Linked DNA regions of Pelodiscus sinensis. The protein of the gene in region 2 binds, or shares a complex with, the protein of the main gene of each other region. Links are inferred from orthologs where the notes say so. Each region holds a gene or a part of one and is shown on either strand. Other genes may lie near its edges.

Region 1 (7,822 bases), on a different chromosome or scaffold from region 2:
AGGTAGGAGATGACAAAGTAATATTACTTGATGAGCAACTTTCAGTAATACTTGTCAGCACACCATTTTGAAATCACAATTCATGGATGAAAGTGGTTGTTCAAATGGAGGCTTATTAGATTTTAAAAATCACAATTATTGGGCAAGGGGAAAAAATTGGGAATTTGAGAAATTATGACAAGTTGTATCCATTACTATCCCACCTAGCACCCCTCACACATTTCTGAGAAAAGCAACAGATACAGAAAAAATTTATCACCCCAGTGATTTCTTAAACAATCCAGTATGATGTACAACAGCAACCAAAAACCAAAGGTTATCTCTGACTGACCTCATAACAAGGAAATATTTAATGTTAAGGATTTTAAAGTCGGTCATTTGAATAACTGTATCCAATAACAGATGCTGTCTTGTTCATTATTCTTAGTACACCAATAGTCATCTTATTTTAAGATATAGAACCAACTAAACCACTATTAGCAGCAATTATTGAGTTTTAACTAGCTTAATTAGTCCAATGGTGAAATTAAGTTTCAGTCTGGATTCCACTGAATATAAAATCAAATTAGTTTAAGATACAAGGAAAAAATATTTCCTCAATTTGTTTATAAGCAAAAATGGCCATGCTGTCTTCAAGAACACAAATCAAAGTTGGAAATTATATAAACTGAATATATGCAGTGCAATATTTTCGACAACAAAAACAAGTCTATATTGAAGCAGAGAATAAAGTTAATCCTAGAACCACATCAAAGTATCACTTAGCTAGATAATGGCACTCCTAAAGAAACTAAATACTGAAATTAAAAATATATAATTTAAGACAACAAAACTATATTAAATTATTTTATGAGGCATAAACTAGTTCATATTCTCATTTGTATATTTCAATGGGTCTCATGACTGGACCTTCTACTAACGTGCAATTACAGAATAAGGGAGGAGATTACCCTTCCACACAAACTTGCAAAATTAAACAAAGAGGATTCAAATACCTTTAATACATTCCCACTGTCTCTTGATATCCAAGGATAAACAACTGAACACTCAACCATAACACCACTGTTTTTGTTCCTGACTGATGCTCTTACTGAAGCTAATAAGAATAATTTGGCTTCATGAAAATATGAAAAAATAAGCTCACATATCTAGTATTCAGAGACTAAATTATGATGGTTACCATAATTTAATTGTATTGAAAAGACAGGGATCTAAAGAGCTCTTGCCATTTAACTGAAGCTGATCAAGTATGACGTTCAAGTTTCACCGACCTGGTTATGATCAAAAGCAGTCCTGGTGACCTCGCTTTATAATAGAGCTAATTATTTTATATTAGTGTACAAACACCACACATCAACTCACAGGTACATTATCAATTATTAAAAAGCAAACTCATAAGGCTCTTCCTGTAAACCTAGAAATGTTTAACTTCTATATATGAGACTTCAATTAAAGTAATACAGGTGACAAAAATTAGGCATGTGTAAAAAAAAGAGTCAGTATATGGAAATACCAAGTTTTTATTTATAAAGGTCTATTTTTCAACAAATATAATTTAGTGTTAAAATATATCTTAAAATAACTTAGAATAGTTTGTGTGGAAGTACCTTACAGTATTTGTTCCAGTGGCCCCATAATAAAAGAAAAATATAAGTACTATTTAAAAACACTATAACTGTTTTTTGAAAAATCCTGCCCTCCACTCCAGAGGGGAAAGTGTGACATGTACTAACGCAATGACTGAACAGGTATTTTTCAGCTCCCACTTCTACTGTTTGCAGATCAATATAAAACAATCACCCCCTTACCGTTTCTTCTTTTCCTTCAGGGGCTCTTTGGCAGCTTTCGACTCAGTCTCTCTGTAATGAAACAAGTGAATATTTCGTCTACCTTGTAGAGGTCTCTCTGACGTGCTTCTTGCTTATTTTAACGCCTTAAAAAAATACCCGTAAATTCACGACTCTGAATACGAAAAAAAAAATTCAATTCCCCCCTCCAACTAAAACAAAAAAACAACTCCCCCCACAACCTGCCACAGAAGAGAAGAAAAACAAGTCGACAAGAAAACAGTATCCAAGCAGAAGAGCAGAGGTTCGGTGTTATCCAGTCCCAGTGCAGGAGAAACAGGTTCAATTCCAAAACAAGCTTTAGCTTTCCAGTGGAGAAAGAAAGGAAGGAAAAGAATGTCCCTAGCTAGACTTTTGCACACGAATTCTTTTTTAAATACACGTTTGCTTTCGAGCAACAACAAAAACCCACGAAATTCACGATGTGAAGCGGATGGGGAGAGTTTATTTTTTGTGTTGATGGATTCTCAGTCCAGATGGAGGAGCATCTGAGTGTTCAAAAAGTGCAAATTAAAAGGAAAAGGGGGATCCCACAAACGAGCTGAAAGAGTCCCCCCTCCAAAAATGGAGCCACAGCCGGGGATCCAAGAGTAGGAACCCAGTGAGGAGGAGGATCCAATGAAGTCTCTCTCGCAAGGGGTCCTACAATGGGGGGCGGGGGTAGAGAAAGAGATCCAGCAGTCTCTCTTGCGGTGCTCCAAGCAGGAGGATCCAGCAGTGTCTCTCTCACAGGGGGATCCAATGGGGCCAGCAGAGCGTCTCACGTAGAATCCCGAGGAGAGGGACGATCCAGCGGGCTCTGCCGCAGAGACTCTCAGTGGGGCACAGGGGGTTCCCAGGAGTCTCGCGCCCCGGGGGGGGCAGGAGGCTGAAGGAGGCAGCAAAGTCTCCCAGGGGCTGCTGCAGCGCCTCTCAGGCAGTGTCTCTCTGCGGCGGAGGAGCTGGGCTGCAGCGTCTCGCGCGCGTTCTCTCTAGCAGGCAGGCGGCGCCGGCCCCCCGCTCTTCCTAGCTGCAGCCGCCGCCGTCGCCGTCCTCAGGAGCAGAGCTGCTGCCACCGCGGCCATTTTGTTGCTAACTGACAAGAACCCCACCAGGCAGCGCGAGAGCAAAGAGAGGCCCCCCCCTCCCCTCTCTGACCTCAAACAGGAAGCCTCGGCGTTACCCCCCTCTGATCACGTGACGGGGGAAGACAAACTGCGGCATGCAAATCAATTGGGTGGCAGAGCCAATCAGCGCCGCGACTCAGTGTCTGGTTGCTCTCCTCCTAGCGCGCGAGTGGGCCCGGTCTTCCCCCGCCTCTCGCACGGGCCGGGCGCGTCCATCTTGGCCAGTCCGCTCTGCGCGGGAAGGCTCGCGGCTCTCGCCCGCGCACCTGGGCACCTCTCGCACTGCACGTGCCAGATGCGCCCGCGCGGAGGGGGCTTCGAATGCGGCACCGACCTAACGCGCGCGCTCCTTCCAGAGCCCACTGCGCCGTGCAGAGCCTGACGCTTTGCACATCAGTGCCTGGAAGCGAAGCGAAAATTGCCCAGCTAGATGCTCCCTGCAAAATGCACCGGTGCAGCTGGCACGAGTCCAACCGCTATCCACACCGAACACCAGTGCAGTGAACAAGGCTGGAAAGAAAATCGTCAATAGAAAACGTGTGGCCGGGCTGCCCACGCAGCCCCCCAGTGGCAGCGCAAACTGTACCAGGGCCAATACCTATTTTGATTCGATGTTTGCTTTACGGCAGATGGACCTGAGTGTGTCTTACTCGGGCAAAACTCGGATCGGTTAAACTGCAGTTTTGACTGAGAAAGTACTGCAGGGCCAGGACCGATTTCTAAGTTTTTTGTGAATATAAATTGTACCTGCACCTGAATTGTGGGTACAAATCTGATCACTCCTGCCTTTAACTTCCTGCAGGCGCAAATCAGTGAGGTCAATATTCAGCAAACTACCTTTGATAAAAAACATTTCTTGACTACACACAACATGTGTACCTAAAACTGATTTAGTTAAAATAATACAACCCTCAAGTGAGGACTCTTATCAAATTGGTTTAAGTGCCTTATATCAATTTATCTTAAATCAATAAGGAATAGCTTGAAGTGATGAGACCTTATAGGTTGAAAAAATTACTGGTATGCGTCAAATAAAAACATTGTTTTAAATAAAAATACAATTTTAAACGAGTCTGAATTTAGTACTTCTAATACAAAGACAATACCTTAACAAGCAGGCAGAAAAACTGTCTTTGGGTAACACTAATTAGAGCACAGGTGTTACTTTGGCCACTGGAGGGAGCCCATATTTTTCCAGAATGCAACAGAAACAGAACTTCAAAGATAAAAAATAATAAAACATAAAATATCAGATCATTATAGTTAGAACAAAGTGTGTTCTCTAGGCCAGGACAATATCTATATGTATGCAAAATGTTATAAAAATTAGATTTATGTGTACCATTTTGCTTCATAAGCACCAGAAAGCAAAACGATTAAGAACAATTTCCCTGCATTTGGAATGTCAGTCTATACCTTTCACCAGGACTTTAAATTCACATTTTTTTTCTGAAGTAATGTGATGCTGACAGACACTTGACTACAGTATTGCTGCTCTTACACATCTAGGTCTAAGCTATTTACATTTCAAAGGCAAGTAGTTTGTACTAGTGTAGCTGAGTAGATAATTCAGAGGCACTTTCCTTAACTTTTCAGTTACACAAATGTAGGTCAACACCTGCAAACTGTTGTCCCCCAACGACTCATCAAAAGCAAGTAAGGAAATTGCCAAGCTGTTATTTTCAGAGTGGATTTTGTTCAACATAAGACAACTCCTCAATACAGTGCAAACAAAACAGACATGTACCTTTATCTAAGTAAAGTTTATAATAATAACAACATCATGTCACAAATTAATTTCTGTATATATAGAGTTGTCCTCTACTGAAAAATTTGTTTTAACTATATTAAAAGGTTACTTGCTAGGTCAAATTTGTCCCTAAACTTAGTTTACAAAGCCTATTGTAAAATCTAAGATCATAAGTATTTCCCTTGATTTTTAAAATTCAAAGTATCTTTTTAAGAAGTAAATATTCCCATGCATTTGTTTTCAACACAAACACTAAAGCAAGAGACAAAGATCATGAGATCCTGAAATTGAAACTTGACTAGACAGTGACTAAAAACAAAAGTGAAACTAACAAATGTACTTTCTTCAGTCTTGACCAAGCTAAAATAAATGCAAAAAGGATTATCTAAAATACACATACCCCCTACACAGAACCAATAATGAAAAGTAAATTTGATTTTTACACAAAATGTCCATATTTTAAAGATGCTATTTGTTATGATAAAAATGCATTTGCAATTATTTCAACTACCTGTAGTTTTCTATCATTAAATACAAAGATTTTTTCAATCCAAAAATATTTTCCCTGCTTTGGTTTCTCCTGGGTCAGCCACCACTCATCATGGTTGCGCACTCTTGGAAGTCAGGCAGAGGTGTTTCGCAGGTTTAAGAACCCCATTGACTTGGCATAATCTATCTGAAAGTTGATATATAAAACTGACACACAAAGGAGCCCTCCAAGCAATTTACACATGTGGGTAAAGGTTATAATACATCTGATTTTAAAACTGGATAAGCAGTTCCTATTTCCAGGAAATTTTCAATGTTTGGACTGTGGTAGGTCAGTAAGGCTATGTCTACACTGACAACTGAAAGACAAACTTTTATCATTCAGAGGTATAAAAAAAAACCCACTGAGGGTGTGTCCATACATCACCCTTACCTCGAAATAAAGCGCTATTCTGAAATGTTCCTTTACCCTCATGCAATGAGGTTTACAGAGACATCGGAATAGTGAGCTTGTTATATTTCAATACAACAGGCTTGCTCTTAAGACGCAGAATAGCTATTCCGGGATACCGGAGGTAAACTGTAAACGTAGCCTGAAAGACAAAAGTTTTGTCATGACAAGTGCCACGATGAATGGCATATTGTCAGCAGGAGAACAAATACTGCTCATTGGAGGCAGAAGTATTTTGACAGCAAAAAAACTGACAACAGCAACTACACTGCCCAACTTTTAGGCTATGTCTAGACTGCATCCCTCTGTTGGCAGAGGGATGCAAATCAAGCACATTGAAATTGCTAATGAAACAGGGATTTAAATATCCTGTGCTTCATTAGCATAAACATGGCCACTGCTTTTTTTCTAAATGGACCTTTTTTGAAAAAATGGCAGACTAGAAGCGGATCTGTTGAAAAATAAACCCTTTTTCGAAAGATCCTGTAAACCTCATTTTTTGAGAAATACAGGATCTTTCGAAAAAGGGTTTATTTTGACAGATCTAAAATCCATTTAGAAAAAAAGCAGCAGCCATGTTTATGCTAATGAAGCACAGGATATTTAAATTCCTGCTTCATTAGCAAGATGATAGGATGACTCAGCCAAAAATGTTCAGAGTATATTTTCATCCAGAAATGGAGGACACCACCACAACATCTCACCCAAACAAACATTTCTTCAGTATGTCTCACTGTGTTAACAAGTATTTTCTGGCTCACTGATCATAATTGTCACAACCTGGAGTACTGAATGTTTCCCAGGCTGCCTGTGTCTAAGAGACAGCCAATATACTTTTTAATTTCTGTGCATTTTATTTCTATGCTGAGCACAATTAAGGAAGTTTAACATGTACCAAGATTAATTATCTAAAACTACCTAGTATTTTCTTTGCCCTAGATGAAAAAGATGTTATATGGTCTGTAGACTTGTCAGTGTTTCACCTTTCAGGCATGTTTTCATTTTGGTTGGCAAGTGTTTTGAGCTTCGTAGAAAGCTTCATAGAATTATCTTTCACGACATAAATTTCCTTCATATTGAGGACCAATATGTATTATCTTTTGTGACAAACCCTGAATGGCCTTCATCAATTTCCAAGGCATCTATTGAAATGTAGCTCTTATGTTTTAGACAGACCCTGTTTTATCCTTTCCCGCCACTGTTCGAGTATTCTCTTTGTGTCACATGAGGAAGAACGGATGTGATCCAGTTTGAAGAGAATGGGGGTCATATGATGCTCATGTTTCAGTGCTGGAACATAAAGGCATTCCTATAGATGAGACTGAATTTGCAGTGAGATGTAATCTGTGTAAACCAAGGGTGGGCAATAATTTTTGGTAGGGAGCCACTTTAAGATTTTGGAAAATGGTCAAGGGCTGCACTTTTGTGTGGAGGATGAGTGGGGTCTAGGATGAAGGCTGGGTGCAGAAGGGTGCACAGGATGTAAAAGAGAAAAAGAAAAAAGTTGCAACAGCCATGGCTACACTTACAGGGCCACTGGGACCTTTTCAGGAAACTATAGAGCAATGGCAGGTATATACTGAGCATTTTTAACTTTTTGCAAATGACATTAACGAAGAGAAGAAGTTGCCAATATTTTTAAGTGTTGTAGGGGCTAAGACCTACTCTCTGCTATACAGTTTGCTGCTCCCAGTTAAGCCAGAGACCAAATCTTACAGTAACATTAAGGAACTACCTAGTTCGTGCCCCGTGTAGCCGCGCTGCACGGGGTTCGAACCAGCGGGGTTTTAAAAATGGCGGCTCCCCGCTTATGCAAATGAAGCCCGGGAAATTCAAATCCCGGGCTTCATTTGCAAGTGCGGTATGCCTACATTACCCTCCTAGTTCGAACTAGGAGGGTAGTGTAGACATACCCTTACTTTCTTAAAACGATTTGTAAAATTGGACCTTTAAGAGTGTCTAGGATCTCACTGGCTTTCAGAAGCCTCTCTGGTTTGTTATTCTTCCCATTTTGAATATAATTTGAATTGGTAGCCAGCTACCTTCAAATATACATTCAAGAGAGCAGTAGGTGGTAAATAAGCAGAATACTTTTTAAAAAACTCTTACTGCCATTCTATTAATAATTTTTGCTGAATTAAAATGGCCACTATCACTATATATTTGGAAGAGTTTGCTC
Region 2 (7,414 bases):
ACATAGCACAAATCGGAGAACTGACTGTCCCAGGTTTCCTGTATCAAGCCCAAATTTCTGCTTGATACGGAGCATATCATTTAGAAAGACACTCCCCAAACCCGATTCAAACTCCAGGAGCGGGAGAACCCACTCATCAGTTGCTGCAATGGGTCAGTTGCTGCAATAGGTTAATTTTAAGAATGTTGAAGAGCAGTTATTTGGCTAATTGTGTAGTCGATGCAATGTCAGCCCAGTAGCAGCCCCTGTTCGAGGCAGTTGGGACTGCTGCTGGAGAAGCCTCTGCCCATGGCCAGCCTGAGCCACTGCGAACAGGGACTGCTTTGCAGCACCAGCCCCTGTCTGCGAGGGAACAGGGACCCAGCTCTCCACTGGGACCCCAGAGGACAGGGACTGCTGCCAGACCAGTCTCAGCCCACAGCAGCCTCCCCTACACCACCCCCCTCCTGCTGCCTCTGACAGAAGCATCAAGGAGTGGGGGAAATGAGTAGTTGAGTAATTGACTTGACTACCTAATAAGCACAGCCTTATCAGGTAGTCGAATACTCAACTCCTCGATTATATCCCTAGTTAATTTCCCTCCCTGGTCCAAAGCTGTGACTTGTTTCTAGTGTGAATTAATCTCACTGCAGCTCCCCAGCACTGAGTCACCCTCAGAGAGCTCTCTCCCCACAATAGAGACCAGGATCAAGTCACCTTTTCATGGTCTCTTGGATTACTCCAAACCCAGCCCCAATGCAGATTTTAAAATTGCATTTCTGCCTCTCAGGGCAGCGAGATGACAACACTGAAATGCAGCATCTAAAGCTGGGAGACCAAGATCCCAGGTCTAAGCCCAGCCCTGCAGCAGAGCCCTGGTGACCATGTCTCCCAAGCTGTATTGAGGGAACAGACTTAGTAAACCACAGTCACTCTATCAAGCTGGCAGTTTTCAGGTGCCCCATTGGGGTCTAGTGGTTACACCCCTTTGACCAAGCATTCCTAGTAGTGAGTAATGTGACAGATGGCAGCAAAGCAGAGGCGGAGCGCACACAGGCTCTCATACTAGCCAGGACTTCATCTGGACCTCAGGATGACCAATGGGGAGCAGCCTGTAAGCTCTTCCAGCACAGGTTTGTATAGCACTTGTCCCAGAGGAAGCAACACCACTGCACTGGTATGCCAGGGTTCTCTCCCCAGCTCCGCCACCATCTGATTGCTTTCCCTTCACTGTGCTTCAGTTTGCCCTCACAACGTTAGGCCAAGCTATACAGGGTTCCTTGCATGCGAGGAGCCCCCTGCACAAAGGGCAGCCCCTGAGCTCACCCAGCAGGGGCCTGTGCACCACCTGGCACAACTGGGGGGCCCCTTGAGCTCAGTTGGCAGGAGGAGGCTATGCAGCACAGCTGTAATACAGGGCTCCCCCAAATCCCTGTTATTGTTATAATACAGCCAATGAATTCTGCACCTACTCTTATGCCAAGATATTTTATGCAGCGCCACATTTGTTTTCATGCTTTACACCCGCAACTCATTTTTCTGAAAGTCAGCCATGCCAGTGTTGTATAGCTCAGAAAGTTTCCTGCTGCCCTGAGCATCTACAAACTCGCTTGGGTACCTAGCCCCAGTGCAGAATAGAGCAGACACTTGAGTGGTGGGCAGAGACCCCAAGGGACCATTGTGAATATCTACTCTGACTCTCTGAAGGCAGACCCAAAGCAGGGTTTTCAGGAATACAGCCTGGAGAGTACACTCCAAAACCTTAGTATGTTGTCCCAATGAGTCATTACCCACCATGTCAAAAACGAACACCTTATTTCCAACAAGACCGTTCCCCCAGTTGGTCTTCCCAAGAACAACTTGTTCATACGTAAACTCCTTTGCCAGCTAAAAGTGTCTTTCATTCCCTCAGACAACAGCCACATCAGTGCCTAGCACAACAGGGGCCGACCCCTGATCTCATCTGGGTGGGTGGGGGTGTGCCTATGCAACATGTGGCACAACCAGGGACCACAATCTCAGTGCGACACCCAGCAAAACAGGGGACGTGATGTTTGATGTAACAGGCTTGGGGCTTTTCAATTCCATTGGCATCTCAATTCTTTCAGTAAATCCCTGCAACTATAGGTGAGACCTAGAAATTCATGCAAGAGCAAGGAGCCAACACATATCTAGGCAAAAAGGCAGAGGCTGGCTAGACTGCCAGTTGTGCAGAAGGGCAGCAAGACAACCAGCACCCACGACACACGTCCCTGCAATGGAAGGTAGCTAGAGAAATACCCCACACACACAGCCTGGGAAAGGGAGCCTGAACAACAAGAAACAAGGGGGCTTCTGAGGCCCCCCACAACGAGTCCCTCCCCCCAATTTGTCCACCAGCCCTGGAATGGGAAAGTGGGGTAACAAGAAAAGTTTGACACAGCAATGTCTGGGCCAATTCTACAGCCACAGTCAGGAAAGGGGACCAACCCAGAAGATCAATGCACATCCCTGGGCAGAGGGGAACCAATGCACAGCACTTGGGGGGCAGAGGCGCATCCTTGAGGGAAGGGGGCAGGCAGGGGTCTGCACAGCATCCGCAAGGAGGCAGCCCCACCCCTAGCACTCCACTTCCAGGAACATTTGCGTAGGAGGGGGGTGAGCCGGGACAGCACCCCCACACCCGAGGGCTGGCACCAAACACCCCTCAGCCGATTCCCCCAAGGGTTCCCCCTTCCCTGCCCTCCCGATGGCACCCCACTGTCCGCCTCCCAGGGCTTTGCGGGCATGTCGAGGAGGGGCCGCCCCAACCCCTCCGCGGGGCCCGGCCCGGGATTTCTAGGGCCCCCTCCCCACGGTATCTCCATAGCGACGGGCCGGGTAAGGAAGGGCCCCGTGTCTCACCGCGGCGCCCAGCGGGGGGCGGGGCCTGGCGCGGAGGGGGCGGGGCCTAGCCGCGCGCGCGGCAGGAAGGCGGGGGGGGGACTCCGGGTCTCTCGCCGCCGCCGCCGCCTATCGCCGCTTGTTTGTGTTTGTACCAAGATGGCGGCACGGAGCCCCGTCACGTGACGAGGGAACGCGGAGGGGGAGCTCAAGGGCCCACGTGACACAGGAGCTCGGCCGCAGGAGGAGGGTGTCACGTGATGGGGTGGAGCCCGCAGAGGAGGGGGAAGCGCGGGAGCCACATGACAGGGGAGAAGCCAAATTGCCGCCCGGCTCGCGTGACCCCGCGCTTCGCTATGGCCGCGCGCGTATCTCTCCTTCCCCACCCCCTCCCGGCGCCACCATAGTCCTGCGCAGGGAGGCTAAAGCAGCCCCCGCGCCACAGCGTCACGTGACGGACGACGGCCTTGGCCCGACGTACTACCCAGGTCACGCGTTCGGGTCACGTGACGATCCCTTCACAAAACGATGGACCCCCTCCTTAGAAGACGGTGACGTCACCACTCTCCCGAACTGTGAGGTCACCAGTCGGCTTTACCACCAAGACCTGTGGTGCAATTGTCACACACTGTGTCCATGTGATGTCACTACGAGCCCTATGACATCATCAATCTCACGTGATGTCATCACATGGCTTTCTGCTGTCACTGTCCTGCCCTGTGATCTCATCTGCACCATGTCATTGCTTCACCAGATAACGTCTCCAGAAGGCAGTGTGATGTCCTTGTGTCACCTTGCGATGTCAACCCCAGCCCTGTGTTGTCACTATCTCAGCAGCTGCCATTGTGTCACGCTGCCTCAGTAAATAGGGTTACCAGATGGCTTAACAAAAAATACTGAACACCCCCCCCCAAAAAAATAAAACACCAGGGAAAAATTCTATTGAGAAAAAAAAGGGGGAGACCAAAGTTGTTGAGCAAAAAAATTTTTTTTTAATTAAAAAAAAAGTGTGACCCCTTTAAGAAATTCTTTTGAGGCTTTTTGGCCCTAATAGGCTGCTGGCGGCCACCCACCATCTTGTCTTCCTGCTCCGGGCCGGACAGCTCCCCTGCGGAACCTGGTAAGCACCTGGGATTTTCGCCTTCTGTCCGGGAAAAAAAAATCAGAAAATACCAGACATTTTAGGTGTCTGGTATTTTCTGAATTTTTTTACTGGACAGGAGGTGAAAATACCGGACGGTCCGTGTCAATACCGGACACCTGGCAACCCTATCAGTAAAAAGTGCCACCACCTGGCCCCGCTGCCTAGGTCACTATCTCAGGACACTGAGTTATTCCTCAGTCTACCATAGCCCCACATACTCCTCCTGGCAACTCCTGATGGTGCATGATGATATTGTGGCATTATGCTGCAATGTGAGACTATGATGTCACCAAATGCAGCCACAAAGTCACTGGGGTGTCCAGTGACCAAACACAGCTTCCAGCATATCAACAGCAGAAGGCCCTGATGTCAAACACAATGCTGAGAGGTTACATCTACCCTACGATATCATCAACGGAAAAACATCATCCCACAGTGCACCTGTGACAACACAAGACCATGTTGTCATTGTGTAGGAACATGATGGCATCATCTCACATCCAGGCACCACGATGACCATCATGACTGTGGCTGGAGTCTCTTTGCCTGCTTGCAGAATCAACTAGCTTGTTACATCACATCTCCACATTCAGGAGAGAGAACCCAGGAGTCTGCCTCCCTGTTCTACCCACCAGCCTCCACTCCCCACTCAGAGCTGGACAGAAAACCCAGGAGTCCTGGCTCCCAAGCCCACAGCTCTAACCGTCCAGCCCCCTAGAAAGATGTAGAAAGGAGGAATAATAAACACCGACAAAAAATGTAACTGGATCTTTACTGGGTGATTTTGAGTGGAGCTGCCAAAAGTTACTCACATTATTCAGTGAGGGCAGAAAATGGAGGTTTAATAATTTAGGGGTTGCTGGAATGGCCAGGGCTATTGTAGCTGGAGTGCAAGAGAAACAGAGAGGGGCTAAGTGGTAGCTCCCCCTGCCCTGTCCCCCATGGGCTCCAGAGGAATGTGGAATCAGGAGTAGGCCGCATGTTCCAGTCCCTGCTAGGCTGAGGATCCATTGGGATCGGGGTCTCCTTCGACTTGCCCCTCATCATGGGGCTGGCGCTTGGCGAAAGTGCCCTTGACTGATCCCTCCACAGCGGCTTTGAGCTGGTTGGGGGACAGAGGCAGCACGTCAGGGACACACCCCACACCATCACCTCTCAGCCCCCAAATCCCTGAACCCCCTCATTTCCCATAACCCCCACCTGCTGCCCCGGCTCCTTCCTTGAATTTCTTGAACCCCAAAGACTCTCCCTGACCCAGTAGACCCTGCAACCTGCCCCCTATGTTCCTCATGAGCTCCCTGACCTCTCCAGGATCCATGCAACAGCCCTGTGCTCCCCACCCCATGCCCCCCTGTGCCTCCCACCCTTCAGCCCTACCTCTCGGAGGCTGACCACACCAACCAGCTGGCCCATGTTGGTGACGTATGCTGTCCGCAGTCCCAGCAGGTTAAAGAGGTCATAACACTGTGGAGCAGAAATGGGTGTGTGCATGTCAGGAGACAAACTGAGGAGGGGAGGATGGATCAAAATAGGGTAGGGTTAGGGATCAGCCCTCACTGAGACTGCAGGACAGTGGGGCTGGGGGGGGGGGGGGCTCTTGGCAGCAGGTGGCACATTATCAGGGGGTGACAATGTGGGGATTCTATTCGCTCTGTTCACTTTGTTATGTTGCATGTGATTTCCATTGTCCTGTACTGTTCTGTAGTAACTCTGTGTGTGCATGCTTCAGTTTCTCTAGGCACTGCACCAGTGCCCCGATGGAGATGGGAATTTTGGGTGTGACTCTCACTGAGGGGAGGCTGCCCCAGGCTGCCCAGGCAAGCACATTCACAATGGCCAAGAGTCCCTGGAACATGAGGTGAAAACAAGGGACACCTTTTGCCTGAGAAGCTGGACAAAGGAGGAAGTGGGACTGCCAGTAAGGCAGGGACCAGTAGCTAAGTGTGTGAATTAGTCTCTGCTGGCTTAAGAGACAGGGAGGGGACCCAGGGCCCTGGCTCTGGGCCTCCCTCTCCCTAAGACAAATTGTATTGGCTGCTTCTGGTTCCTGGGGTAACAAGTCTGTTTTACAATGTGTCCCTGTGAACTAATACATTATCTGTTCTACCTGCTGGCGGAGAGTCATGTCTGGCTGCGGATGGGGATTCAGGGCCCAGTGGCTCCCTGTACCTCAGTGATGGGGAGGGGGGCAGGGGGGAGAGGACCAAAATGACATGCAAATGAGTATTGCTTATTGAGTATGCAAATAAGTCTCCACTTATACTGTTCATATGCAAATGAGCAAGCAACTCAAATGTGCAGACAGTGCTCATTTGCATATGCAAATGCACAACCCCTCCCACCTAAGTTTCCAGTAAGCTGCATGGCTGCATGATGGCATAGCTGTTTTCTGAGCTCTGCTCAGAAGTTTAAAGCTCTCATGCAGGCAAGAAGCTCAGCTGACCGGCAGGGGAAATATGTCATCTTGCTGAGCAAACAGTTAAACTGGGCTGTTCCATGCTTGAAATGGAGCAGCTCCCAGAGCAGGTAATAAAAAGTGAGATAAGGAGACAATAAGTGACTGGGGGGGGGGAGTGAGTGAGTGGGTGGGTGGGTGGGTAATTGGCTGAAGTGGAGTCAGAGCAGAGGAAAGTTTGGAGAGTCCAATCCGCCCCAGGAGAGAAAGGCAGGAACTCAGCACTCTCAAGCCTCCTGAGAAAGGAGATATGGGGCTGGCTGCATAAGATGAGTGTTTGTACCAGAATACTTGCATGGCTATGTCTAGACTGGCATGATTTTCCACAAATGCTATTAACGGAAACGTTTTTCCGTTAAAAGCATTTGCGGAAAAGAGCGTCTAGATTGGCACGGACGCTTTTCCGCAAAAGCACTTTTTGTGGAAAAGCGTCCATGCCAATCTATATGTGGTTTTGCACAAGAAAGCCCCGATCGCCATTTTCGCCATAGGGGCTTTTTTGTGCAAAACAGTTTTTAGCTGTCTACACTGGCCCTCTTGCACAAAAACATTTCTGGAAAAGGGCTTTTGCCCGAACGGGAACGTCAAAGCATTTGCGCAAGAAGCACTGATTTCGGACAGTAGAACATCAGTGCTTTTGCGCAAAATCAAGCAGCCAGTGTAGACAGCTGGCAAGTTTTTGCGCAAAAGCAAGTGCTTTTGCGGAAAAACTTGCCAGTCTAGATGCAGCCGCATGAGTACATTTCAAACAAAGTTTACCTAGGTGTTAATGGCTTAAGGTAAGAATAAAAAAATCTATTAAAATATTTTATAAGTGTTGCATATATCTAAAACTCTGAATTTAATTATTTTTTTAAATCCTGTGTTGCTAATTAATACATGAAAAATTGTATTGCATTAAGGCCAGATCTTTGCTATGTGGTAGAGTTCTGGAAGATCGCATCTTCCCATCCTGATTGCATATGCAAACTGAC

What was found. Proteins that work in one complex are often made in the same cells at the same time.
Region 1: the proteins of GIGYF1 (region 2) and TNRC6C are in contact, whole or in part, in a crystal structure (PDB 7RUQ), measured with the Homo sapiens proteins. The link is inferred for Pelodiscus sinensis from reciprocal best matches to the Homo sapiens genes GIGYF1 and TNRC6C. Residues at the interface, in NP_001362694.1 of Homo sapiens: Tyr479, Asp481, Pro482, Gln487, Phe490, Trp498, Tyr503, Phe504, Leu508; in NP_001136112.2 of Homo sapiens: Arg1719, Pro1720, Pro1721, Pro1722, Gly1723, Leu1724, Thr1725.

What each region holds. Positions count from the first base shown.
Region 1 is NC_134730.1:7,745,498-7,753,319, reverse strand, and holds the start of TNRC6C (trinucleotide repeat-containing gene 6C protein), read right to left. Parts: upstream 3,013-7,822; 5' UTR 2,030-3,012; exon of another isoform or gene 1,860-2,029; 5' UTR 1,809-1,859; intron 1-1,808. UniProt on the Homo sapiens protein: Plays a role in RNA-mediated gene silencing by micro-RNAs (miRNAs). Required for miRNA-dependent translational repression of complementary mRNAs by argonaute family proteins.
Region 2 is NC_134734.1:8,963,758-8,971,171, reverse strand, and holds the start of GIGYF1 (GRB10-interacting GYF protein 1), read right to left. Parts: upstream 3,010-7,414; 5' UTR 2,863-3,009; intron 1-2,862. Other genes in the region: chloride channel protein ClC-Kb-like, read right to left, coding at 4,980-5,087, 5,363-5,449. UniProt on the Homo sapiens protein: May act cooperatively with GRB10 to regulate tyrosine kinase receptor signaling. May increase IGF1 receptor phosphorylation under IGF1 stimulation as well as phosphorylation of IRS1 and SHC1.